4 linked regions of the Astyanax mexicanus genome follow. The protein of the gene in region 3 interacts with the protein of the main gene of each other region in a pairwise test. Links are inferred from orthologs where the notes say so. Each region holds a gene or a part of one and is shown on either strand. Other genes may lie near its edges. The genes, in order: zmynd19, transcription elongation factor A N-terminal and central domain-containing protein, nab2 and rfc5.

Region 1 (7,795 bases), on a different chromosome or scaffold from region 3:
AAAGTTATAGCAATAAGAATTACAATTTATTTTCACTAGTAAGAAAGCAATTATATGTAATTGTAGTTAGTTTGATTGTTTTTACAATCAAAAATGTCACTATTCATAAGAGAGTGAGGGAGCATTTTACAATAAGCATATCAATTAACAGTCATAAACGATACTAACTGGTTAAGCAATGTCTGGAATAACAATTATAACGCTATTAAACACTGTAAACATAATAAAACGTCATTATTAATAAAGGCTTAACTAACAACATAATCTGTTGTAAGTACTGTTAATTAAATAATGTACTGTTATTGTAAAGTGTTACTGTGAGTAAAATCCCAAAATAACATTACAAACAGGTATTGGTGATGGGGTTGTGACTAGTAAAAATAACAGGAACACTTTACTTAGATGGTCAATGTATGGCATCATTGATGCTCAACTGACATTCAACTGCATGTCTATTAAATGCAAATCAATGCTATGTGGAATGTAAATAACACAAAATAGAACCGAACCCTACGCCTAACCCTTACCGTAACCATTTTTTTAACCCTAAAAATAAATGATTTAATTATCTATTCAGTGTAACCCCACACCCAACTCTAACCCAAACTTTAATCTTAACATTTAGAGATTGGGTTAAGGGTTAGAAATGTTATAGTTAAGGATAAGATTAGGGTTAGGTGTACGGTTAGATTTTAGGGTTGATTAATGATTGAGGTTATGGTTAGATTTTAGGGTTAAATAATAGTTAGTTCAGTTCTATTTTCAATCATTTACATTCCACATAGGGTTAATTTGCATTTAATAGACGTGAATTTGAATGTTAGGTAAATGTTAGACAATGGGGCCATCAAATGGACCATCCAAGTAAAGTGGTACAAAAATAACATTAGGACAGATGTTTATGTTGAAGATGTGGCAAGTAAAAAGAACATTTAAGACTGGTGAGAATTGTGATGGTGATGTGGCTAGTAATAACATTAAGGGCAGGTGAAAATGGTAAGGATGGCTCTGTTTTTAGCACAGATCTGATATTAAAATATAGTACGTCTAGCTAAACGTTAGATGACACCTGAAGTAAAAGTCTTTACTACGAAAATTGCTTTACACAGAACTCTAACTGGGAGATAATAGCCATTGTTGGTGTGATTTTAGGCTGAAAAGGCTTGACTAACACAACAATAGCAGCAAAGCTAGGGGCTAACTTGCTAAGCTAGCAAGCTATAGACCTATAGTTACACCGTGTAACCTAATGTTAGCTCCCACTGTAGCGAACTAGGTTAACTGTTACTGGGTTATCTAGATAAATAATAGCTAGCTTGTGATCTCTCTATGTTATGTAGTTTAATACGCTATAGATGCGTAGTCTTTAGTTAATCGGGCTAGCTGTTGTACGTAGCCCGCTGTTGAAACTCCTCCACTCAGCAGACATGCCGCCGGTTTGAGTCACGTTGCAGCGGTTCCTGGTTCAGAGATTTGCCGACTCGTCTCCTGATTAAATGTCCGGCTAGCTAACCGAGTGCTAAGTTCATTTAAGCCGGCTGCTTAAGAAACATCGTGTAGTATTTTAAACCCCACGTTTCGTTAAATGAGTATCTTAAATTATAAAAAGAGACATGCTGTTTAGGGCCACTATCCACACACACACGCGCTCACCAGCCTTCATAAACCCTGCCGTTTATTTTGCTAGCAGGTTAGCTGCGTTAGCTTCGTTAGCTTGGAAGCTATTCCGGTGTTCTGCCGAGTTATGCTATCCGTCGATACGCGCTTTCTAAAGGCACTGCGCATGCGCTCACCTACACTTTTTAATTATTTCTCCGTTTTTTTAATATGATAAGTGTGTTTATTATCTTTTATGGTTTTTTGAGCATTAAACAACCTGGACTCACAGTCATTGCACAAAAGAAAAAAATGACAATTAATAATAAATAAATAGAAAAATAAAAAATACAAAAAGCAGTTTCTAATTACCTCCCATTACCTTAGCTAACTTCACCCTAATACAGTGATTTATACTATCCAATATATATATAAACATACAGGGATCATGCTCTAATATGGTGCTTCATTTGTATTTTTGCCGCCTTATATATTTTGCCTTAACCATTTCAGGCCACTTGCCACAACAACAGACATGCGTTTTCTTTTTTTCCTAAATGTTTTGTTGCGCAGAACACTAACGTTAATTGAGACCATTTGTTAATCAGAATAGACTAAAAACGATCTTATGAAACAATAGCTTAGCCCTGCCCACTGCAAAAATCCTAGCACTAGAGTCACATAGGCAAATTAAAAAAGCTATTTTTTGTACTAATTGTGTGTGATTTAGAACACTTTTTACCATGTTTATTTTAGTGTTTAGGGATGGCTTGTGAACAAAAAGGACAAGATCAAATCTAAAATCAAAAAATGTTAAGCACTGGCCTCCAATGCAATAGACATAAGACAGTTACTAAATTTATTTAATTTGATTTAATGTTCGTATAGATTTTATATTAGAATATATATAACACATAATTCAGGTCTGAAAGGGTTAAATACAGCTACACTAGGGAAGCACGGTTTGACAACGTAGCACAACTCGACGGAACACCGGTAAAATCGCTTATTCGACCAACAGACACGTTCAGGGGGTGTGTGTTTTAACGACCATCGTGCTGTACTGTAAGTTAGCCGCTGATTTATGCGTTAATCTCTAAATATTGCTAATAAAAGCCTCCTCGCCAGCTCTGTGATCCCCTCCCCTTCGCACATGGCAGTCCCCGGGATCGGTCTCACCTTCCCGGCCACACGGCCAAGTCGAACAATCCCGAGCTTGAAATCCGACATTAGACGGACGGTCTCGCAGGTGATGAGCGGAAGGTTTTAAGCGCAGGTCTGGCGGTTCTCGGGTCTGAAGGCAGTCCGGGCAACCCCTCACCCCGAGTTCCCTACAAGTTCTGTTGTCTGCGAGGGTCAGCCGCTGCCCGACTCTTCCCCACCCGCTACCAAACCACCGCGATGCGCCGCCGCTGAGTGGCGTTGGAAAACCTGCCAGAGAGGGTTGCCAGGTCCAACAAAAATATCCAGCCCAAAGTCAGTGTCAAACCCGCCCTTCAGAAGCTTAAAGCCCAAAAAATATACAGCTCTGGAAAAAAAGAAATAAGAGTCCACTTAAAACGATGAGTTTCTTTGTTTTTACCTAATTGAAAACCTCTGGAATATTGTCAAGAGGAAGATAAATGATCACAATCCATCAGACCAAGCTGAACTGCTTGAATTTTCGCACCAGGAGTGGCATAACGTTATTCAAAAGCAGTGTGTAAGACTGGTGGAGGAGAAAATGCCAAGATGCATGAAAACTGTGATTAAAACCAGGATTATTTCACCAAATATTGATTTCTGAACTCTGAACACTGCACTGTCACTTTACAAAGACAATTACTGTTTACAAACACTGTCATTATAAACTTAACTGAGACACTTATGCTCTTAATTCACACTATTATGCTGCTATAGCTAACTTGCACTCTGGACTTCATGCTGCTGCCACCTGCTTACTCTCCCTATTTTTTGTGTGTTTATCTTGATGTCTATTTTGTTCTATTCTATTTTATTGTATTCTTGTTTTTATTTTATTTTATTTTGTCTATATGTATCTATTTTAACAATTGCTCCTGGGTGTAAACTGGATCGTGAGACCACAATTTCATTCCACCTCATGTACCACATGTGATGCGAATGACAATAAAATCTCCTTGAATCCTTAAAACTTTATGAATATAAACTTGTTTTCTTTGCATTATTTGAGGTCTCAAAGCTCTGCATCTTTTTTTAGTTATTTCTCATTTTCTGGTCTACATGACCATATTTTTATTTGGTATTTGGGCGAAATGTTGTCCCTAGTTTATTGAATAAAACTACAATGTTAATTTTACTCAAATATTTACCAGAAAAACTGATTCAGAAAGTATAGTGGCCTCTTACTTTTTTTCAGAGCTGTATGTCTGTCACACGTTTAAAGCAAATGTCAAAACAAAGATGAGTGTACGACTTATTATTTTGTTTATAAGGGATTCATTATCAGTATTGCTATTTATCATAAAGTCATTAATAATATTGTAAAATTTGTGTTTCATCAATTATTTTATAACAGTTTCATATCCAAGTCAAGAACATTTAATCTCTCTCTCTCTCTTTATCTCCCTTATGTCGTTATGTTCTCCTGGTTCTTATTGTACACGTTTGCCCACCGTGTTCATGTAACATTCAAGGCAGCACACTTGATTTTCAAACATGCTCAAATTGGCGGGAGAATCTCGAATCTGGCAACTCTGCTGCCAGCGTTCACAGGGGGCGGGACAGAGCCCTGCTTCAGCACACACCAACCCCTGAAGAACCCCGAGCGCCTCAGCCAGTTAAAACGCCGCGTATTTGACTGTGTCTGACGTGTGCCTGGCTGCGTACTGGGGTTTGATCCCAGCAGCCAATCAAGGAAGGGAATCTCACTGCAAGCTCCTCCTACCCGCCCGCTTCCGCCGCGTCATTGGCTGGCGCTTCTCTGAGCGCGGGAACGTGGCGCCGTTTTAGCGCGAAATTCCGAGTCAGAGCGTGAACAGATAACCTAGAGCAGTGCTAACTGCTATATACTCAACTAGTATGCAACAAAGTTTTAGTGTTATAAACAGAGGTGTCAAGTTATGAAGTACATATACTTTGTTACCTTGCTTAAGAAGAAATTTTGGTTATCTATACTTTTAACTGGAGTAAAGACGACTTTTTGCCTCTCTTCCTGACTTTTTTACACAATTATCTTAACTTTCTACTCCATATATTACATTACAAATAGCCTTGTTACTTTTACTATTTAATTTCAGCTTGTTTTCATTCCGGATCCATGATCTTTAAAAAAACTATCCAGATAAATCTCTTAAAAACATTTTTTATCATCCCCACCCTTAAAATTACTTTTATTTTTATAATTTAAGTACTTTTTAAACCAGTACTTTTACACTTTTACTTGAGTAAAGTTAATACCCCAACTTTATACACTTTAGATAATTTATACACATTTTACACATCATATTATACACATTAGATGGTTGTTAGTTTGAATTGCATTAGGACTGAAATATTAAATGCAAGACAAAAAGCACATTCTTAAAAATAGCATAGTCAGTGTCACGCAATTTTTTATTTATTTTTTGACATAATATGTATCTAACATGTCAAAATTTCATGATAAGTGTATTGCTACCCATCCAGGGTAATGATTATCTCTAAATGTCCCAGTTTCGTAAGTTCATTGTCTTACTGTGTCTGTTAAATTGACTGATTAGACTCTGGGTGCACTTGCATGACTGTTTTTCATTGATACTGCAGAATCATTAGACTTGACTACCCCATCAGCCCTGGTGGCTCCTACAGGTAGAGTTGGACAGGCAGTGAATTGGTAACTGTGGCTCTGCTGTAGCATTATTTAAAAACAATACAACCATTGTTAATATAGTCAGTGCTGTGTAAAACCATACTTCACCAAGCCTTCTCTGATCTTCTCTGTTATGTTCACCTTAAGGACATGTATGTTGGTGAGAAAAAGTCTATCAGTATATATTAGTATAACAGTGTCCAGGTTTTTGTTAAACATTGGTGGCAACTCTAGGACCAAAAAAATGTCAAATAGTACTTGAAATAAACTTTCTTTAATTGGCTTCCATTGAAAGATAAGAAGTAGTTTTCCTTTACCATTCACTTTATTTTTGTTATGAGGACAGAAATAATTTCTTCCTATATATTTGTGCAGGTGTCAATGAACAGACCAACAGTGCATCACCATACCAGACGTATTTCAATTTTAGGTGACTTTCTACTGTAAGTCAAATAGCATGTTATTTAAATGTATTATGCAAAGTCTTTTTGTTTTTTTTTGGCATAAAGTTTTGTGTGCATAAAGATTTAAAATGTGAAGCAAATACAAAAAACACTAGAATGTATCCTGCTTCAGTATACCCTGGTTGGCTTCAACACACTTTGGAATAAACATTGCTGTGATTTGACTGCATCCAGTCCCAAGGGCACACCTGAGAAAGAGAGCGAGAGAGAGAGTATGTGAGTGTCATTATTGTGCAGTAGGTCTGTGAGAGCATGAGCCACTGGGTTGACCATTAACATCAACCTGCCATTGTTTTCCCATTCCGCCCACTCTGGCTCTTTACAAATGGGATGATTAACTTGGATCTCAACTCTGAAAGCTGCTGAGGGACTCAACTCAGTTAAAGTCAACTATCCAGTTTAGTTGGCTGTCCTGTGAAACTAGAGAGCACTTCCTCTCTCTCTCTCTCTCTCTATCTCTCTCTCTTACTCTTTCTCTCTTTTTTCTTTCTCTGCATCCCTCTTACTCGTTTTTTCTCTCTATCCTTATCGCTCTTTTTCTCTCACTTACTCTCTCTCTATATCTTACTTTTTCCCCTCCCTTAGTCTCAATATATCTTTCTTACTTTCACTGTCTCTTGCTCTCTCTCCCTCTCTCCCTCTCCCTATCTCTCTTTCTTTCTCGCTCTCTCACACTCTCTCTCTCTCTTTCTCTCGCTCGTAAGTTCTCTCTCTCTCTCGCTCATTCGTTCTCTCTCTCTCTCTCTCTCTCTCTCTCTCTCTCTCTCTCTCTCTCTCTCTCTCTCTCTCTTGGAAAAACTGGATCCTCCACCTGGAGCTGGAACTTCCGTGTTGTACACCTGTGACAGGTAGGCCAGGTAGGCCTGGGTGGCAGAACTGGATGCACCTGCTGCGCAGCTAAAAGAACAGCTGAGAAAGGGTAATAGCTATAACTATCTAAGCTTTGTAAAGTAGAGTTTAACGCTGTAGCTGCTGTTTTTAACACAGCTGAAGACTCCCACCTCTCTCCAGCAGTCATGAGTGCTGATTACGGACTTTGTGACTTGGCCGTGGTGTCGCTGCGGGACACCGAGCAGGAGGAGGAGGACCCCGGACTCCGGGGGTCTCAGAAGGAGCACAATAACAACAGCAGGAGCAGGAGCTCGGTGGAGGGGTCTCCTCTCTCTGACACTCTGTCTGAAGACCCCTGGATAAACGTAATTCCGTCCCTTTACTCAAACGGCTCGGTGGCGGGGGCGAGCCCCGCGGCGGACTCCGGCTCCCCGGCTGAAGTGAAGCTCTGCCCCGCACACCAGTCGGAGCTGGACCGGTACTGTAACACCGAGCAGAGGCCGGTCTGCTCGCTGTGTGAAACTCTGGGCTCCTGCCAGGGTCACACAGTCACACAGCTGACCGAACGAGCTACGACCGTCAGGGTGAGTTACTGAAACATTAAGGTAACGTTGTGACAGAAGAATGTAACTCAACTTGTGTTGTTGTTTACTGTCTGTGTGCTTCACATAGGACATAACATACCCAACACTGTGGTTAAGAGATCACTTTAATTTCTGAATCAGTTTCTCTGATTTTGCTATTTATAATTATATGTTATAAGCCAAATTAAAATTGTTGTTTTCTTCTATAAACTACAGACAACATTTATTCCAAATTCCAAATAAAAATATTGTCATTCAGAAAACTGCAGAAAATGAGAAATGGCTAAAAAACAAAAAGGGAGGGCTTTCAGACCTCAAATAATGCAAAATAAAATAAAAAGAAATTATTAATATTCACAAATCATTTAAGAGTTCAGAAACCAATATTTGGTGAAATAAGCCTGTTTTTTTTTATCACAGTTTCACATATTTATCATATTATGTCACAATAAAGATTTAAAGATGATATCCTGTGATAAAAATTATATCACGATACACAGTAATAATCAGAG
Region 2 (6,359 bases), on a different chromosome or scaffold from region 3:
CACAGCACCAGCCAAAACCTCAGCCTTACTGACAGCTATTTGTCAAACTAATGCAAATTCCAAGATGACTGGCTCAGATGTATGCAAGTCATACACTCTTTTCTTTACCAGTTATTCTAGATGTTTGCAGGATGTTTGTCTCTTCTGTTTTAGTGGATAAACACTAAAAGTAACTTGATACACCAACAAAACAATGCAAGATGCCACAGCACCCGTCAAGCAATGGAGTGTGGGGGTTGAGGAGTGAAGAAGGTCATGTGATGTCATTCAGGAAGACACAATTGGCAGATTCAAACAGCATTGAGGACTTGTGGGAGTGTTGAGAGAAATCAGCCACTTTAGGATGTGTGTGGACAGCAGAGAAGAATATGTGGGAAACAGGTCATTTATAGAGTACTGCAAGAAAGCATTAGGAATAAATTACAAAGCAGTCATTTGATGGTCATCAAGACCAGTTTTTGTCTGTCTCATTTACACAGCCCCCGGCCCTTCTTCACACAAGCAAAGTCCATAGTGAGTAGATGCTGAACATCTTAAGTTTGCTTCTAAAGATTCTGTCGACCTAAAAGAATCAAACGACCGCACAGTCGTGCCAGACTGTCATGCCGTGACTCAGAATGGCAGTTTGTTGTCACACATCACCAACCAGGAGGCCTGGTGTCATGATGTGGGGTACAATTTTGCATGATGACAGATCATCTTTGGTCTTCATTACAGACATTTTGACAGCTCAAAGTTACATAAATGAGGTCCAGCAACCAAAAGGCCAACCTTTTTCAGAAAGCACATTCAGGTACACTATTACAACAGGACAATGCTTGTCCATATATTGTTGAAATTTCAGGAGTTTACCATGACGACACTACTGAGGATACTATGCCATTGCCAGCCACATCACCAGACCTCTCCCTGACTGAAAATGTGTAGGATGCTACTAGACATGCAATCAATACACCACTCCTGAGTCCTGCCACAAAATCTGCAGGAACTGTGTGAAAATATTCAAGCTGCATGGGATGCATAATCACAGGACATTATTAGGAACCTCTACATGCACAGGCGTTAAACATACACTACACATTACGTATGTAGATGTAGCTTAAAAAATACAAACAAAGAGTTGTCCATGTCTGTCTTCAAACCAACACTTCCTTCTGGGTGTAACTATTTTTGTAACTATATCTTTGAGAATTGTCTAAACATCTACTCCTTTTAATGGACCGGGCCTTTAATAGACCGGGCCTATCTAATAATACGCTGACATTTCAGTGTCATACTTCACCAAATTAAAGTGAAGCGAATAGAGGAAATAAACAAGGGTACTAAATAAAATCACACACTCAGAGAAGAACAAACTGGTTCTTTGTCATCTGGCACTGAAACAGTGTCAATTAGCTTAGCTTGTGATGAGGGAAGTAGTGTGAAGGAAGCACCAGGGAATCAGTCAGAACAATTGATACCCTTCAGACCGTAGCTCCCACTCTGCAAAACGGTATTTAGCAGAAGTTGCCTTGTTTTCCTGATCAGAGACCAGTTCCTCAAGTTAGTTTACAATAGCCTTGTTACAGATTTAGACAGTGGAAGTTGGTCACAGATCAGTTTTTAACAACATAGCTATGAACCCTAAGTACTGAGCACAGCAGGAAATGCTTCTTGCTCATTTAAGCATGGAGTCTTTAAACTGTGCGCTTCTACTGCACTCTAGCTGCAGACAGAGGAAACTGTGGACTCAGTAAAATTCCACTCGCATAAAAGTGATGGGACATCCGATTCATATCAATGAACCAAATGTCCAATTCATTGACTCTCAAAGTCAAGACAAGTCAGCTTTTTATATCCTGTCCCTACATACTTTTAGAAACAGAAAAAGGAGGCCATCTACAATCTACAGAAAGAGAAATTGGAAAAAATAAAATGTTTGAGTTTGATTTACCCAACAGCTGCTCAATATGGAGTTACAATGTAGAGGTGGACCAATTCACATTAAAGCTAAATACATATATTTAACTATTCAAAACACACAAAAACTTGCACAACTAAACATAAAGCCTAAACACTACACCCATGATCTACAATCCCTCAGTCCCTTGGGCACTGCATCAAGAACTGTCATTGAACAATAGTGGATAGAACCACATGAGCAAAGGATTAATTTTCAAAGCTTTTGTCAAGCACAGCAATACTAAAGTACATTCACAAATAACACCTAAGACTTTACTGTGCAAAACAAAAGCGTGATGTTATCCATGTCCAGAAGTGATGTCAACTTCTCTGGGCTCATAGGCATCTGGGATGGACCGTCCATGTGCATGTGCTCTGGGCAAAAGACAAAAATGACCATCCAGACTGTTATCAGCAACAAGTCATGCATGGGGTTGTTTCAGCACAAATTTGTGATGGTAGCATTAATTAAAAGTACATAGAGATTTAAGAGAGTAACAGATGCAGCCTATATGACAATTTTTTTTCCAGGGACATCCATGCATTTTCAACAGTTCCATACGCTGCACACAATGCAAAGGCTGCACATGTCTTTAAGGTGTTGAGTAAAGATATGAGAGTATTACAAAGTAGTAAAAGTTTTATCTTTGCAGGCCTGAAATGCAAGAATAGGGCCCTTTCAACGGATCAATTCATTCATTTTTGGACATCGCAGCTGCCCACCCAAGTAAGTACAGACTGGACGGCAGAGGTGCAGACATGTTAGTCATCTCACGCCTGCAGGCCCCATGCTTTTAAAAGCAATTGTGCCTAATGGCTTCTAGTTGAAGGACTCCAGGCCTGATAAGAAACCAGACGTTCCACTCAGTTCTCAAGGCCTGTGGTTTTCGCAGCCACACCCGAACGTACTTAATGGATTACAACAGTAGGGGGTGGGAGCCGAGAGGTAAACCAGTTGCAGAGTTTTTCTCAGTGTTTTTGTATGTGTTTGAACCTCTCAGGTTACTACAATTGTGGAGAAAATTAGAGAAGAATGTCCTTTATACTGTTTGTATGTAAAGTTTTGAGCCTTTCTTCTTTAGTCATATATGAACTACAGGATATTAACAACCCCCCTGTGGGAGTTCACTCTCTTTAAAGTGGCAGGAAATCACACCAGACCAACACGACGTGTCCCTTGGGTCAGGCTGGTCATGAGCGCTCAGTTCATTCATTCTTCAGGGAGGAGAATGGACATAGTGTTATGGCATTTGAACTAAGGGATATCACAAGACAAACACATAGGCTAAGCCAGTACAATGGAGCAGATAGTGTGTGGGTCAGAATGAGGGCATTGTTGAGCCCAATAAACACATACCTCTGTATTATAAATCCCCAGTGGTATTATAAAGCAAACTATTACAATAAAAACCAACTTGAATACACATAGTTGAGTATAAGTCAGCTTATCTGAATAAAAATGGTCAATTTTACACAATAAATGACAAATGTTTTAAGACCAGTTTGTTGGTATGTTAAATACTCTCTCTATCTTTGCACTCTGAGATATACTACGATGTAGGTATTTTTAACTGGTCTTAGTTTTAGATTTACTAGTAGACTACACATATTAAAATAAACAAGAAATACTTGGGATATATATGTGGTAATGAATTATAATATGAATGAAGAAGTATACTAATAGTACACTTAAATAAACCGATTTATATTTTTTTGTAAGGGTTGAGCTTTACAATTCCCAAGAGAATACTGAGTGTTGTGTTTTGTGTAGGACTGATTCCCAGTGACACACTGTCCTAAACAAACTAATACTAATACTTTAATAATAAATATAACCTTTAAATGTTTTTAACACATCGTTTTTGTAGTAGGTTGCTGAAAATAAAGGACCACTTAAAATTTGGAATATTATCAAGAAGAAGATGGATGATCACAAGCCATCAAACCAAGCTGAACTGCTTGAAATTTCTACCAGGAGTGGTATAAAGTTATCCAAAAGTAGGCTGCAATGAATGCATGAAAACTGTGATTGAAAACCAGGGTTATTCCACCAAATATTGATTTTTGAACTCTTAAAACTTTATGAATATAAACTTGTTTTCTTTGCATGATTTGAGGTCTGAAAGCTCTGTATCTTTTTTGTTATTTTAGTCATTTCTGATTTTCTGCAAATACATGCTCTAAATGACAATATTTTACTTGGAATTAGGAAGAAATGTTGTCCGTAGAATAAAACAACAATGTTAATTTTAGTCAAACATATACCTATAAATAGCAAAATCAGAGAAACTGATTCAGAAACTAAAGTGTTTTTTACGGAGCTGTATATTTTTTGACCAACTGCGCCATCCAGCGCCTGAGTGAAACACTGTCTCTGAGAAATCACAACAAACATGGCGGCTCGGAGCTACAGAAATACGAACTGAAATGAAGAGGCTGAATAAAGAATACGGTATTGATTACAGATATTGAATCAGACATATAATTTTTACTGCTGTAATGATTGTATGGGAACAGACAGTCCGCTTTTTTAACGTACCTCAGCCTCTTCTGTTCAGAATAATAACAAAACATTATCTCCTCAGGCTGAGAGCTTTAGTTAGCAAGCTCATCTAACTGGCTAACTAAGTATAAACTGAATGAAATGGGTAACTAGCTCAACTACAATGCCAGTTTTGAGTCCTAGCAGTAGCTATGGACACCAAAGAGCTCATATTCTACGCTATTCAAATAGAAAAACTACAAAAAGGTTGCAATTATGAAGAAGTTTCATCTCTGCTTGCAGACTTGAGCAACAGTCCTGTAACATTAGAGCAGCTGCAGACCACTGACATCGCCAAGACCGTTTATCAGCTATTAAAATCATGTCCAGTGCAAACTAGTGTTCGCAAAACAGCAAAGGAACTGCTCTCAAAATGGAAAGGGATGTACAACTCATCCCAAGGACACAGCAGTACCAAAGACACAAGTCAAATAAAAGAACATGGACCACCTGAAATGGCTCAATCTGTTCCAAGTGCTGAGACTGAAACAGTTTTGGGCCCAAAAGTTCAGCACAGTGATGTCCAACAGATGTCAAGTTCTGATTCAGATCTACCATCTTCTAAAATCACTGCACTTTTACTGAAGGCAGATGATAGCAAGTCCACAGCTTCAGTTCCAGAGAACCACAACGGAGAAGATTCTAGGGTTCAGTCTACCAGTTCCACAGACTCCAAACCTGTGAGAACCAAGTGTGTGGAGCTTCTTATCCAAGCCTTGATCCCAGACCAGAAACCCACAAACCCAGAAGACACAAGACAGATTTCCACCCTAGCTCAAGCCATTGAACAGCACATTCATGCTCTCCACAGGCAAAACCAGGCAAAGTACAAGTCCTGTGTAAGAAGCAGGGTGGCCAACCTGAAGAATCCAAAGAACCCTCATCTTCGCCAGGGTCTTCTGACAGGAACCCTAACCCCAGAGGTTTTTGCCCGCATGTCTGTGGAGGAGATGGCAAGCGAGGAGCTCAGGAGCCTGAGGGAAGGATACACTGCAGCAGCTATTAGTGAACACCAGCTACCTCAGCAGCCTGAGGGGACGACCACCACGAAAGTGCGCTGCCGCCGCTGCCAGAGCATGAACTGCAGGGTGACCCAGGTCTCCCGCGGGACCCTCTTTCTGCCCTCCTGGGTGAGGAGTGGAAATAACGACGAGGACGCCATGACCTTCATGACCTGTGCTGAGTGCGGGGAGCAGTGGTACCATAGTCGCTGGGTATGCCTCTAATAAATAAGCCTAGCATTGACTGTGGGCAGGTTGCATGACTGCTACAGTGGCCCAGAGAGTCTGTACATCCTAAACAGCTATGTTTACATTCAAAATATTTTATATGTATAAAAATATTGAATAAAATATTTACATAACAAAACATTGGTATATCTTATTTGGTGGCATGTATTGAGTGTTACAACAAAATTGTTCAATATTTAAAACCAATAGACTTGTGCATATATACCTTGCTTGGGAATAAACTATAGGGAAATTGCATTGCGTGCTTTTAAACTTTTATATAGTATATGGTGTGCCAAAGAACCTATAATGTGCACCATGTGTATATATAATGATTTTAGAGTCATATAACTAATGAACTATATTCATTAAGAAATGGGAAAGAAAATCTGTTTTTATTTTTATTTTTTTAGAATATTAAGAGCATTGTACACAAACCATTCTAAACAATTATCTGAATGACTGAAAAAAATACACACACACACACATATATATATATACAGGATTTGTTTTTTAAATTGGGTATTTTGTCAATTATTATTACATTTGTTGGGAATTTTTTTTTTTTAATTTTCAGTTATCACAATAAAACTACATAAAATTTTGATAGCGTTAACAGTGACAATAATGATTATGTAACAATGAAT
Region 3 (7,677 bases):
ATAAAAACTACAAAGATCTTACAGTGATGTGGTGGTTGTTTTTAATACTTTATTTTATGTTGTGGCCATAATGTATAAGTTCATGGCATTAATTATTATTTTGTGGGCGCATGAAACTTAATGTTCTCATGGTCTTCATAGATTATAATCAGTGTATTATTTTTTGGATTTAACATATTATCTTATGGCCTAAATATTGTATCATGTGGCCTTATCTCATTGTCTTAATAAATTACCGGTATGTCATGTCCTCTATGTATATTATCATATGGCCTTAATATATAATTAACTATCTTTAACACTGTCTTCTGGCCTCAATATATTATCTTGGACCACCATATCACCATGTGGTCTTCAAAATAAACTACAAACTTTTACTTAGATATAAAACCCCTACAGATATAATGATGCACTTTTGACACACCAGCCTTTGCAGACTATGGAATCAATATTCTGATTTTAATAATTACAACAACAAAACAACAAAAATTAGTAATTTACAAAAAATATACTTTAATATCTATTTCTCCTGGGTTCCAAATGCAAAAAAAAAGTTCTACCCTTTATACCACATGTGTCAAACACAAGGCCCGCGGGCCAAATGTGGCCCGCCACGTCTTTTTATGTGGCCCGCGAGAGCTTGTAAAATCTTAGTGTCTATAATAAATAGGTCAGAAGCGTTCTTTGACCAAAAAATACATTTCCCACAATGCTTGTCGATTGTATTACCCGCAAAGTTACGGCTTACTGCCACTACACGGCAGTGTAGTCATTGATGTGGAAACCCTGCCGGAGGGAAGGTGTAACTTCGCGGGTGGAATTGAGACATGTTTATCCCATAATATCCAGAAAAAGAAAAGTTGATGCAGACGGACGGCTGTGCTTCAAGGCGAAAGACCGGTATGCATTTTGTGTTACTGACCAAAATAAACGCTTTTTAGAAGAGATATAAATTATGTGTAAATATTTATAAGACAATAGCTGATAAAATCTGTTTTAATGAGGTTAATAAACTTCACTGTGACATCGCTAGTCGCAGTTTCACCTCAGCAAAGGACGAGGAGGTGAATCACTTATCTAACCAGCCTTTACTGATTTCTGCCCCCAATAACCCTTTCAATAACCTCCAATAGCCTTTAATAGTCTCCAGTAGCCTTCAACAGTCTAACCTTGCAGCCGTGGTGTGTTCTAAACTCCGTAGTTATAAACATCCTGAGGTTAGCAGCGCGCTAACTGACCTGTTTATAATGTAATCCGAGCAGTGACTCCGGGATGGCTGCTCTAAACTGCTGCTGTTAGCTGCTTGGGCTGAAAGATGAACTGTAGAGAGCTGTATTATCCGGTTAGTGGGGTTATTTTATTTCATACACAGAAGAACTTAAAATTTTAAAAACGCTCCAGACTGAGTCCTGTAGCCCGTGGCTGGGCTGTAGCTCTGACTCAGTAAAGACTGTGGGCTTGTGCTGCTGCAGCTCCCACTAGTGGTTGGATGAGGAAATGCTAAATCTGTCACAGCTCACAATTTTTGATTTTATATTTATTAAGCCTCTTTTCAGTATCAAACGTTTTGATCAAAGTTAATATAACTTGTATTTTATGTCATTTCTATTCACTTGTATAGTTTGGTTCTTGATTGATGGAGTTTTTGGATTTCATAACAGGATTTATGTTAATAGAGCAACAAGCAAACATTTTTTCCATGCAACTGTAATATTTGATTGAATAAATAATATATTGAGAGTTATTTAACATTAAGGAGTAATTACATTCATTTACATATATTACATTTGGTTACATTTTCTTATATTTATAAGTTACATCTGGCCCTCGGAGGACAGCCAATATGCCAATGTGGCCCTCGGCCAAAATGAGTTTGACACCCCTGCTTTATACCTTTCCGCTGCCACATCACCAGCCTAATCTCTCTGGCAGCAGCACTGTGACAGCTCCTCTGAGACTGGTGGAGCATATGGCAGGTTGGCGTTGGAGCTAAAGCGCAGCAGCCAGGAAGCTTACAGTAACTTAATCACAGTTCCCCAATCTCCCCAGGTGTACGTACCTCGTGATGAGTCAGCTGCTTGCCCTCTCGTCTCTTGGAGTCGAAGCGTCCGTAGATGAGGCTGTACTTGCGGATCTCCTCCTCTTTGCTCTTGTCTTGAGGCTCCAAGTTGAAGATGTGTCCCACTGTCTTGGCCATCTTCTTGTTGAGCCTCAGTAAAGTCTTTACCTCACCCGGGTCAGCCTGGGGCATGGTCCTGAGCAGGCGATCCACGCTCTCACCCACGGCCCGTGCCGTCTCTGGGTCCAGCTGACCGCCAGGCCATGGGGAGGCTGCTGCAGTGGACGAGGAGGAGGATGAGGACGAAGTGGGTGGTGTCGAGAGGCCGATGGGCCTGTTGTGAACCGTAAGAGGCAATGGAGGACTGGGCTGCTCCTCATCGGCTCCCACGCTTCCATCTGGGTCTGGGCTGAGCCAGTGCGGCTCCATCGGGCTCAACTTGTCCCTATATAGATGATCGGGTGGTAAAGGTGATGCCTGAGAGCAGGGGCTTCTAGGGCTTCCATTGTCTCGTAATGGCGTAAGGCAGGACCCTTGATCTTCTCTATCACAAGGCGACCCTGGTTGACCATTGCTCAACTTTCTTGACCCAACGACAGCAGTTCCTCCAGCGCTGCTGCTGTCTATCTTAAAGAGTGGGATTCCTCCAGCAGCGACGTTTGTGGCCAAGGGCTGGTTAAAGATCGTAGGGTTGGCCGCCCAGTCACGCAGGGCCTTTTGGAGGCGACGAACATGCAGGGGCTTGGTGGCCATGCCTACCAGGGCCATGATCTCCAGGAACTCCTCTTCACCTGCCTCACAGAGCTGCTGCACGTCGTCACCACCCTGCTGGATGAAGGTGTCATAGTACATCAGCAGGTTGGCCCGCTGCAAGACCCGGTACAGCTGCAGCTCGCCTAGTGTCCTCGGCAGCGACATCCTGGGTGGCTATATGGCTGGATGAGAAGTGACCATAAGAATAACATTATAATGAACAAATGTTCTGTTTAAACCCACCAATGAAACTACATGTGTCTTCTGACTTTTATATGGAATGTTACTGATTGTAAAATAGCAGCAAAACCTCACTGGATCCCAAGCTCTAATACACCAGCCAACAGATACCGGTGCTGACCAGAATCACAATGGGAGTGATGAGAGCAATGTGAGAGAGCACCACCTGATGTACCCAACCAGAGAGAAAAAGCATGACCAACTGTGCTCTTTTGAACTCTTGCTGCTGATGGTGAAGCTTAATGACCCAAGATTCAGCTGGTGACATTTATATTGAACTGCCCACAACTCTACGTGTGTGTGTGTGTGTGTGTGTGTGTGTGTTTGTGTGTGTGGGCTCAGGAGGTAAATTCCTTGGAACTGGCAATCATGAGACCTTGACAGTATTGTAATAACAGTGTGGGCGCATGTGGGTTAAACATTTATGAGGAATATACATGTTCCCTTTTAGGTAAAAAAAAACTGCTAAACCTATACAAATATTTGTATTATTACAAAACCATAAAGATTATATCTAAAACAAAATTAACAACAATGCCAGTCAAATAAATAAACCACTATATTAAGGTTAAAGCAGTCAAATTAACCTTTCAACTAGCGAGGGGTGATGAGATCTAGCTGTATTTTTGACAATTGCCACTGTTGTTTAGTTTTATTGTAAAGGAAAAATCCACACATGTTACTGTAAAATATAAACCAAGATTACTTCTTTTTTTATTATCATCTTCATTTATTAAATTCTCCTTGTTATTATGTTTCCATAAATGTGTGAAATAATACACAAACACTAGTTGCCGCTGGTTAAAATGAGGATGTAAGGTTTGGAGTAAGTTACATGAGCGAGTTTAATTAGCTAAACAGTATATAATATACTACACTGGCCGAGATAGGGCTGCACAATACTGTAAAATATCTGACACTGCTTTACTTAAATGTGTTTTATGAAACATACTGCAATATAAAAAAAATGTTTGACATTATATTAGCTAATAACGTACTGTGAGTACTAGGGGTGTGCCATATAGTATCATTCGCAATAATATCGCCAACATTTTGGAATTTCTTGAACAATATTATACAATAAAAATATTGTGCCATATCACCCACCCCTAATTATCACATACTTGTTTTGCTGTTGTCAGCAAAAGAAAAAAAATCACACTATTCTCATTTTCCATTATATATCTACTAGAGACAGATTATATCTGTCCAGTATTTTTCATTTTACTTTAATCCTGGATATATGGAGATATATAAAGTGCATTATTAGCAACATGACATTCTGGATTATTGATTTCTGTTACAAATCTGATAAAATTATTGTATTTTTTAATATCTCAGTTAGGGGTGTGCCATATCATATCATATAACATAATAAAATTTAATTTTAATTTTGTTGCAGTAGTGTATTCTTGAAATAAGCGTTTGAATTCAGTGTCTTGTCATTTTGTCAAGAATATCATTATCGAAAATACCATACAACATTGTGATATTATTTTAGGGCTTTATCGCCCACCCCTAGTGTCTACCCAATAAAGGAGTAAATAAATTATATTGCCCTGTCATTGAGGCAAAAGTTTTTAAAAATATTTTTTTGACATTGCACAAGACAATGCTCGTCCCTCAATATGACTTCTACGCATGCGCACACTGCAATACATACAAGGATAGCTACATTAAACACCCCTATCTATGCTGGAGCATTCAAACGAGAAACAATGGAAACAGCCCTGTACTAGATTCAAGTTTAAGTCTGAACAGCAGGCGTGTTTTTACTTACCCTAGGGTTCAAAAGGTGAATTTCGAGGCGATTCCAGCACCTTCTGTCTACCTGCGTTAATTTCTGCGCTCCGCGTTTCGTTCGCTTGTACGGATTTTCGCCCACTTTCAGCAGCAGCAGTTAGCAGGGTGTCCGCTGTGAGGCTGCTGGCGCTGTTTACATAAAGCCTTCACATCTCATTCCCGCGTCTTCTTACCGAAATAAGCGGCTTATTCTCTATCTGCGGGTTCTGTAGACCGAGAAACGTCCGCTAAATGTTAAGTTAAAGGTTTAACATGTTTCCAGAAGTCCGCTGAAGGGGAACAGTGCGCTCCGCTCCGCCGCGCGGTCCCACTGCTGCTGTATTGTTAATGACAGTCTTTTCGCTGGCGGTGTGGGCGCGAGAAATCTGTGGGCGGACTGCGGCACGCCATCTGACCGAAAAAGAGCTTTCCTCTCCCGGCTACAGGCGCCTCTCAACCGGGGGGTGGGGGTGGGAGTGCGGATGGGGTTTCACGGCGTCGTTTTTGGTTAAATTTCCACCCGTTTCCGGATGGGTTCTCACGTAAATATAGCTAACCTAACAAGCCCACTGTGTACACTAATATCATTTCTGTTTACTGGACTGGAATCAACAAATGCTTATTTTAGCTGTTTATGTTACATATACTGATAGATTGAAAGATATATGGATGGATAAATGAATGGATGGATGAATGATATATCAAACACAAAAGCAAAAACAAAAATAAAACTGTACAATGTCTAAATAAGTAACGTATACTGATAGATGGACGGATATATGGAAGGATGACTGATAGATCAAACACAAAAAACTAATATGTGTATATTGTGAAAAACAATATACACATATTACCCACAAGATTATGATTGTAATAATATTGTATGGATTATACAGTTTGATCCTAAGAGAAAACATTATTATTATTATTTTGATTTATTTTCCTCATTCATATAAATATTTTCTGAATGTTTATCAATCATATTAATTTCTATCTCAAACAAATTAATCAGTAGTCAATAAGGGATGCTGTCAATGCTGTTGCTATCCCTGATGAACGCTTCCCACCCGCTTTCAAACATTCCCCGCCCCTCCAATCCCATAGTGCGCTGGGATTAGCTACCACTTCAAGCAGTTCAACGTAGTAAGGGAATTCCAGCCAATCCCAGCGCGTAAAGGCAAGTAGTGGGCGGGTCTTGTCTGAATACAGGTGGAAAACAGAAGAACGCCCGAGGAAACGCCCCCGTGGGTGGGCGCTCGAGTTCTTTCCGACTGCGATAAGATTCCGCGCGTGACGCAGGTCGGACGGCGGGATTCCCCCGTGATGTCAGTCCGCTCTGAATATAATAAAGCGGGCTGCGGTTCTGCATCACGCAAACCCCAGCATTTCTGACTGTGCTGTTTGGGATTGGTCAGCAAAATAAGCATAAAAACGTAACTATTGCTAGGCTAATGCTGGCTAATGCAATTGATCTGTTGATAATGTGATAAAAAGTGGAATTCCAGCGATCAAAAAAATAAATCTTTAAAAAAAAAAAAAAGTTTTATTAACACATAAGATGAGTGAGCAAAAATGTTTGGTGTGAAACGCTCCATTTTAGGAAAAACGTAAGTATTTCACACCAATACTAAAATAATTTTCAAAATATTTAACTATTTAACTAAAACCAATTTATTCTCTGTTCCAACTCAAATAGATAACAATTACTGAGATGTTGACAGTTGACATTTATTAATTAAATCGGTAATCAAACACTTATTGTCCATTGTTTATTTAACTGAATAAAAAACTAAAAATATATATATTTTAATAAAATAAAATTTTACCATTTGTATATTATAATTAACATTACTTACAAGGGTTACTGAAAATTTAACCATATGTATATTATAATTAACATTACTTACAAGGGTCACTGTGTTTGTTTACTGCTGGGTCTGGAATCTAAATCAAATCAATTAAAACTAATAAAATGTGTATATTTGCATTGTCATAAAGGCACTGATTGTCCCACTTTGTTGATCTCAGCCAGCTAAATAATGCAGAAATGTTGAATAACCAACGTAGAATTCGCCTTCAAGTGTACACCCACACTGATGGACATTATCATAGAAGCCAACTATGGGGGTATTGAGCCACTCGCCCTTACACAACTACGGAAGTGTGTGCTGGGTAGAGGGGGTGTAGAGCCAAATCTGTTCACATTGCTTCAGCATGTAAATGTTTTCTGGAAACTAACATCTAGTATCTGCTTTTTACATTAGAAAATTATTTTGATTTGTTTAATTATTCTACTAAAACACTGCTAAACGTAGATTTAAAGTATATATGAAAAGGTATATTTTAAAATATGTTTTACTTTTTTTTAAAACACTTAATATAAAAATACATGCTAAAGACATCTATTTTAATCTAAAACTAAATTCACAATTTAACATTAAAACGATGAATCAATGAATAAATGTGTGTTCATGTGCATTTTTTGTTTTCAAAATGTAGACGTACTTTAAAAGTGTATTTTTTGCATCTGAAGGTCTCTTATAACATCTTTAAAAAGACATATATTGCATAGAATCAGTTCTGTACCATTTCTAGAATAATTACTAAAATATAATAGTTATGAGATGTTATATAAACCTAATGATTTATAAACAATATCTCTCTTTCAAAATAAATTATGTTTTTTTTTAAGCTAAAACATTTGACTTGTTTATCCAGCTTATTTCGTAATTCTGTGTTCCACCTTAAGTGATAGAGTAATAACTTACGGGCGCCACAAATGCCAGCGTGGAATTACCGTAATATTTAGGTATTTAAGGTGGACTGGATAAGTCGAAACACAA
Region 4 (7,110 bases), on a different chromosome or scaffold from region 3:
TTGAACTCTTTATCTTTGTAGAGCTGCTTAGCACAGGCTAAGATGGTGGAGGTCTTTCCTGTTCCTGGAGGCCCGTAGAAAAGTAGATGAGGCAGTCTGTCTTCGCTGATGAACTTCTGAACTGAGGAGGAGGATTCAGAGAAGCTTGTGAGAAACTCTGTCTGAAGCACACTTCGTAAGACTGGATCTACGGCTGCTGCTGCTGCTGCTGGTACTGAGCAGAATTTAGCTATTGTATAACCAGCAGTCCATTTGGTTTTCAGTCCAGATCCAGCCAACACTGTTGGGCTTCACATACAAAACACATTCAAACAGTCCAGAAAACTACATCTGAACAACCATCAGGAAGGGGCTTAGGTTGAGGAACGCCGACATTGGATTAAAGGGAGATTAGGTCTATGCAGGTACAAGCAATAATGTAAATAGAGTAAATTTACGTTCATTATTAAAACTGAATTAAGACAAAATAATACACTATTGGTGATGGTCTACAATTAATTAGACTTATACTGGTAGGTTTTCTAAATAAATCACTTAAAATAATATAATTTAAACACCTGGTCAGGTTTACCATACTATATTGTATCTTAACTCAGGGTTGTGCCATAACACACACACAACAATACTGTAATAATTTCTAAAAACCAACAAAAACAAAAGGAATTGCAGCAAGTTCAGTCTAATGGAAACCATCTACAGGTGTGAAAATGACTCAAAACACCCTAAATCTATAAACCCCTCAGATACTATATAAAATAGTAAAGTTTCCTAGTATTTGTAATATTCCACCACTGCTTCTGACTAACAGTTACTGTACCGTATCGTATGCAATAATATTGCCAACATTTCTGAATATCGTGAACGATATTATACTTTGAAATATTGTGTATATAATTTTTTTTGCTGTTTTTAGCAAAGAAAAACTCACACTGTTCTCATTTCCCATTATATATATATATACCAGAGACAGATTATGTCTGTCCAGTATCATTTATTTTACTTTAATCCTGGATATATGGAGATATTTGGAGTGCATTATTAGTATCATGACATTCTGGATCATTGACTTGTGTTACAAATCGGATAAAATTCTTGTATTTTTTTTTATATCTCAGTTAGTGGTGTGCCATATCATATCAGATCATCGTATGCAATAATAAAATCTAATTTATTTTGTTGCAGTAGTGTATTCTTGAAATATTTTTTAATTCAGTGTTATATGTCATATTGCTAAGAGTATTGTTATCGCAAAAATACAATGAAATATTGTTATATTATTTTAGGGCCATATCGCCCACCCTTACCCTACATGCATATTCATATTTGCTGTCTATGCAGCATGTCTCTGTGGTTTGTCTATTGTTTTTGTACTACTGTACAGGACCAGGCAATATGGTAAGAATATTTATAATTTATAATATTTACTGCAACACATGTGATCACAGTCAAAATTAATCAGTAGTCACAGATACACAGAAACAACTTTTAGAACACTCATTTAAAACAATGCTGCAATTCATCATATTAAAGTGGACTATTTATACTTCATCAGTAAACAAACAGCTGGACTGTTGTTTAAGCACCAACGATTACCTATTTTATTGTATATATGAACAATAAAATGGCCCTGCTCTACCTAACAGTATTTTGTTCTACTGTAAAACCCATTGGTCCTAAGGTAATCTGCATGGTTATGCATCAGCACTACATAGGAGGAATACTAGATAACACAACTTAACCCCCTTATGCATGAATTATGACAACATGAATCAGGGTTTTCTCCAAACAGTTATTCTTCCTTTATGCTGACAAAATGTATAGTTATTTTGTATTTTAAATTCAATTATTCACTTGACTGAATAAAAAATATATAAATAAATTAAGTTAAATGGAAACTTTAATGGTGCAGAACAAATATTACCCTCAGAGGTGCGTTCTATAAAAATCCCAGAAGCTGACAGATTTTTGACCTTTCTTCATGCATTAATAATAGTAAAACTGATTTATGTAGAAAGTAATCACTTGAATAAATGTCCATTGTAGTGACTAATGTTACTATGCATGAAAGGGTTATCGCAGTTTATCAGTTTATCCTTCTGTGTTATGACTAGTGTATTCTGTGTTAACTACTTACTTGTGCTCAGAATGTCCTGGTGAGAAATCAAGTCATCTAGTGTTTGTGGTCTGTATTTTTCAACCCTGCAAATCAAAAAAATAAAAAAAAGAATAAAATACAAAATCAAATGTGTGTTTTACTTTAAAAGCACCTCAGTATTAGCAGTTTTACATCTCTATGACATGGACCAAATGCTGGGGGGCTTTATACCCCCTACGTCTGGCATTAGTCAAGGTGCTAGTAGGTTCATGTTTACCTTACCTGCTCCAGGGGGTCCTATTCTATTGGCAATACAAGCAGCTAAGTTATGTTAGTTAACTAACTAGTTATCTAGCTAGCTAAATGCATTAGTTAATTTGAAGGGCTGTTCACAAACATTTGGACTTATAGCTTGTTCACTAGTTAGTTAACGATAAATATCAAATTTATCAAAATCAAAGTTAGAAAAACATTTATTAAGTCTCGTTTTCTACGTCTAAATACCGTCTCAGCACCATAATACCACACTTAAAACGTGTATTAGATGTTTTATAGCCACTAAAAGGCCCAGAAAACGACAAGTAAGTTAGGCTAGTAAGTAACGTTAACCTAGGTTAGCTGACATAGAGCTTGCAAGCTAACTAGGCTAGCTAATGCGTTAGCCCCACTATATGAACCTATAGCTACAGCAGTTCTCAAAAAAACTCTCTTTATTAAACCCTTAAATCCACTAAATAAACCACACAACAGCCTGAAACGACTCTCTAACTATCCTACTCCTGTCTTACCATGGTAAATTCCTCGCTGGAACCGCTGTTTTGCTGGTAGATGCCATGTTTTGCTGTCTGTTCTATCCCACTTCTCTCTTGGCGCGCTTTTGCTGCCCGACTCGCAAACCAGTCGGCTCTTTTGAACCGGATCTTTTAACAGAAAACCAGCGAACCGATTCACAAGTTCACAAGTGGTCTCTGCACAATATATGCGATTTCCTTAAGTTCTGCCAGCTGATTTGCACTTTAAACGCAATAAATATTTATTTAATATTCGTAATATCTGTTTCCTTCGCATAATAAACCAGATTTTTTGTTCTGTTTATGAATCTGAAGTTTGATTCAGTAAAAAGCGGACAGATTGAAAGAATCAGTTCAGATTCAGATCAACTGAATCCATTCTCACTGCTGTCAGTAGCGTTTCTGACGACACAGGCCTGCTTTACAGATCCAACCAATCACAAACTTAATACAATTTGAGGGCGGGGAATACTAACCCCGCCCCTTTTTGAATGAGACCCGTTTTTAGAACCTAGTAAAAATATACTGAAAAATACATAATGACAAAATTACAAAAAAAGAAATATACATTTTGTATAAAAAGAAAAAATAAAACATGAAAAAATACAAAATAATATGTAAGCATGATATATAATAACCAAAACATTGGAAATAAAAATATATAAATAAAACATAAAACAACACTTAAATACTTAAATGCTAAACAATTCAAAAATAAGAATGATAACATTAATACAAAACTTTATAAACATTAAAACATTCATATATATACACAAAAATATATACAAAAAAATAAATAACATACTTACACACTATCACATACATACTAAAAATAATATGTAATAAATATGTCATATAAACATGATATAAACATAAGCACTGGAAATAAAATAAAAATAAATATAAAATAAAATAAAATATAACACAAGCTAAATTAAACAATATTAAACACTAAAATGCTAAACGTTACAATACACATAGAATATCAATTAAACATATTAGTATTAAACATACTAAAACTTACAAACTAAAATAATAATAAAAAGAATGAAAACATACTGAAACCTAAAGGACATATATTATTATATTATAATATATCAAGGCTGTTCCAAAACTTTCAGCCAGCCTTTTTATGATATAGCACATTTAAGGTTTAATACAATTATTTCTGGGGAAGATAAAAATGTGTGGTAATATTAGCATAGTGAAAACTTACTGCTGGGATTGTTGGGACACTGGAGATGGAAAGCAACTTAACTTCTTCATCTGAACCAGGGAGGACATTCAGGCCCTGCTGGAGCTGCATGTGTTCATGGCTCTCAGCCGTATCTCCTGCAGGGCAGGTAGAGCCGTGCCAGGTGTGTTCTTTAGGTGTGTTCACTGAGCCTGGTTTCTAGAAGCTCTTAGTAGTGCTGAACTAGCAAGTTTTTATGCCAACAGAACCTGCAGAGGGGTCGTATTTTGACCTATACTCAAAAAAAAAAACAAGCACTAGCACTGTCCCAGCTTGTGGACCACCATGAACCTCCACATTGAATGTGTAAAAATAAATAAAATAAATAAGAAAATAAAGCTTAGCTTTGCTGGGCTTCTGTTGGCTGCAAAAACTTCTCAGTGGCATTTCAAAAGTAGGAGTACTCATTATTATATGTTAATAAACTATTATATTTCATGTACCATATCATGTGATCATGTGGTGCAGCCCCGGTTCTACACAGCTTTTCTAATATAATGTAATATAATGGGTAGACATGTTGATAGACATATATTTAAAGCCAGAGCTAATAACACTGGCTAAAATTGATGTATGAAGTAAAGAAATAAAAATGTTGCATGTGTCTTCAAGAGAAAATTATGCATTATACTATTTCCTACAGTGTATTATTTATTAAATTATTAAATGAAACACAAAATACATGCAGAGGGGTATCAGGTTAAGTCTGCGTTAAGAGAGATTAGCTGCTACTAACCAAGTTAGTAGCTTGCTTAACAGCTAGCTGTTAATGCTACAAATTAAATAAACAAAAGGATTACAAGCCAGAAACACTAAGCAACAATTCACCACAGTTTAGCAAACGTTACCTTGTGGAAGTCAGTTTAATTGTGTTTAATTCATCCATATATATTCCATATATACAGAGATGGAAAGTAATTAATTACATTTACTCAAGTTACTGTAATTGAGTACATTTTATGAGTAACTTTTCATTTTTAAAGTTAGGTCATTTTTTAGGTCATTTTTAAAATAGGTAATTTTATTTTTACACAAGTACATTTTGACACAAGTAATTTACTTTGCTACATTGGAAATTTCCCAATTACTGAGGAAAAAAATAAAATGCTGGGAAAAAAACAATTGTCTGAATTAAAAAAAAAAAAACAAACGTGCTCGTGCGTAGAATAACGAGGCAATAACAACCTTATGCAATGCAAAATGTGCCATGCCCTGCCGGACAGAGCTGTCTGCTTTCAAAACTTCCACATCAAACCTGAGAAAGCATGTGTTGTAAGTATTTTTATCTTTAAACAATCTGCTTAAATGTTTAAAAAAAAACATGTAAATAGCAGTTAAAGCAAAGCAATGGCAAGTTAAAATATAATAATGAACTGTAAAATGATAAAAATACAGTTTATAGTCACCTATATGACCATAACTTTTTAACAGTAAAGACAAAAAATGGATCATAGAAACCTATGCCACTAAAAATGTTTTATGGGCTGATCTGAACAAATACTGCCTGAAAGGTTTTAAATATTATGTGGAATAATATTTTATTAAAAACAATTTAATTTATGATTTGTTTTTACTTTTTTACGTCAAATAATTAAAGGTAACCAAGTAACTTTTACTCAAAGTACATTTTAAATTGAGTACTTTTTTACTTTTACTCAAGTAGATTTTTAGAGGGGTACTTTTACTTTTACTTGAGTAAAATTTTAGCAAAGTAAAGGTACTTTTACTTAATTACAATTTTTCAGTACTTTTTCCACCTCTGCATATATATCATGTTCACACTGACAGGACCTGTCGTACTAAGCCAGAACTGTCTGCTGCTCTTATATGATTCAAAGACTCAATTAGAAATAAGCAAGGAGATATCTTCACGTTGTACAGCAAAATGGGTATTTGTGATTTTTTCAGAGATACTTCAAAAAATAGTTGTTGCAAAAACAAAATTTGGGAACCAGCCCTGATGTGGAAGTTGGTGAGTTAGCAATGCTAATGGCACAGTGGTGATACTATTGGCATGGTGGTGATGCTAATAGCATGGGAACAGAGCCAATACCACACTAATATTATAATGTTGTAGTCACCATGCTAACGACGATACTAACACTGTGGTAGTGAGGTTGGTTGAAGCTCACATACAGTAACTAACTAATGTACAGGGTGTGCCATGACTGCAGCTTCTTTTTTTGTCAGTAAGTGAAATTTTAGGGACTTTTTAGGGAAGGACCACAACTTTAAACATCAGTGAGAGTTAGACATGGAAGGATAGTTGTTGTTTTGTATTTGACCCTGTTTTTTCCACCATTATCATAAGCACAATGTGAGGATTACAACACACTCAAAACAGCAATTTAAACACTTCGAACCAGCAACTATTACATCTCAATCTATTGTGTGTGTGTGTATGTGTGTGTGTGTCTGGAAGATAGAGTTACATAAGATGTGTTTTTCTGAGCTCTAAGTTGTAGTTTTTCCAATCCATTGTGTATTAAAGAGACAGACAGACCATAATAAAGCATTACTGTTCTTACTGAAAACGCTCTGATGTAATCGTCCACGCAACAATAGCACACAGCATTTTCCACAGCAATCTTCAGTCAAGGCCTATAAATATAAAAGTGTGAGTGGAAATATTTGCGGAAACCATAAATCAGAAAAAGTAAAATACAATAAAAGGAAAATGCAGTGTTCGTTATATTTACCTTTACTCTCATTTCATTGCAGACAGTATAAAGGTAGTTCAAAGTTCATGTTTTGTCTGCTCATCTCCTTTTTACAAAAACAGTTTAGCAAAATTATTTTAATGTTTTGGTACAACATGACACCTTCAATGGGTCAGTTTTAATGATTATAACACTACTTACAGTACCATCTTCTAGGTGGGTGGTTTTAATGTTATGGCATAACTTACTGGACTACCAGGGCACACATTCTTAGTGTTGTTTTGGAGGAACTCAGAGCGGTTTTAATGTTTTGGCAGAACGTTAGGCAGA

The links.
Region 1: the proteins of nab2 (region 3) and zmynd19 interact in binary tests that used the Homo sapiens proteins (3 or more experiments, as listed by UniProt). The two-hybrid records come from large-scale screens. The link is inferred for Astyanax mexicanus from reciprocal best matches to the Homo sapiens genes NAB2 and ZMYND19.
Region 2: the proteins of nab2 (region 3) and transcription elongation factor A N-terminal and central domain-containing protein interact in binary tests that used the Homo sapiens proteins (3 or more experiments, as listed by UniProt). The two-hybrid records come from large-scale screens. The link is inferred for Astyanax mexicanus from reciprocal best matches to the Homo sapiens genes NAB2 and TCEANC.
Region 4: the proteins of nab2 (region 3) and rfc5 interact in binary tests that used the Homo sapiens proteins (3 or more experiments, as listed by UniProt). The link is inferred for Astyanax mexicanus from reciprocal best matches to the Homo sapiens genes NAB2 and RFC5.

What each region holds. Positions count from the first base shown.
Region 1 is NC_064408.1:19,972,243-19,980,037, reverse strand, and holds the start of zmynd19 (zinc finger MYND domain-containing protein 19), read right to left. Parts: upstream 3,011-7,795; 5' UTR 2,827-3,010; coding exon 2,776-2,826; intron 1-2,775. Other genes in the region: bspry (B box and SPRY domain-containing protein), read left to right, coding at 6,885-7,283. UniProt on the Homo sapiens protein: May be involved as a regulatory molecule in GPR24/MCH-R1 signaling.
Region 2 is NC_064428.1:21,510,311-21,516,669, forward strand, and holds transcription elongation factor A N-terminal and central domain-containing protein, read left to right. Parts: upstream 1-4,321; 5' UTR 4,322-4,368; coding exon of another isoform or gene 4,369-4,393; 5' UTR 4,394-4,635; coding exon 4,636-5,709; 3' UTR 5,710-5,851; downstream 5,852-6,359.
Region 3 is NC_064431.1:14,540,937-14,548,613, reverse strand, and holds the start of nab2 (NGFI-A-binding protein 2), read right to left. Parts: upstream 3,028-7,677; 5' UTR 2,978-3,027; coding exon 2,060-2,977; intron 1-2,059. UniProt on the Homo sapiens protein: Acts as a transcriptional repressor for zinc finger transcription factors EGR1 and EGR2. Isoform 2 lacks repression ability.
Region 4 is NC_064429.1:31,486,024-31,493,133, forward strand, and holds the start of rfc5 (replication factor C subunit 5), read right to left. Parts: upstream 3,029-7,110; 5' UTR 2,931-3,028; coding exon 2,884-2,930; intron 2,200-2,883; coding exon 2,135-2,199; intron 122-2,134; coding exon 1-121. UniProt on the Homo sapiens protein: Subunit of the replication factor C (RFC) complex which acts during elongation of primed DNA templates by DNA polymerases delta and epsilon, and is necessary for ATP-dependent loading of proliferating cell nuclear antigen (PCNA) onto primed DNA.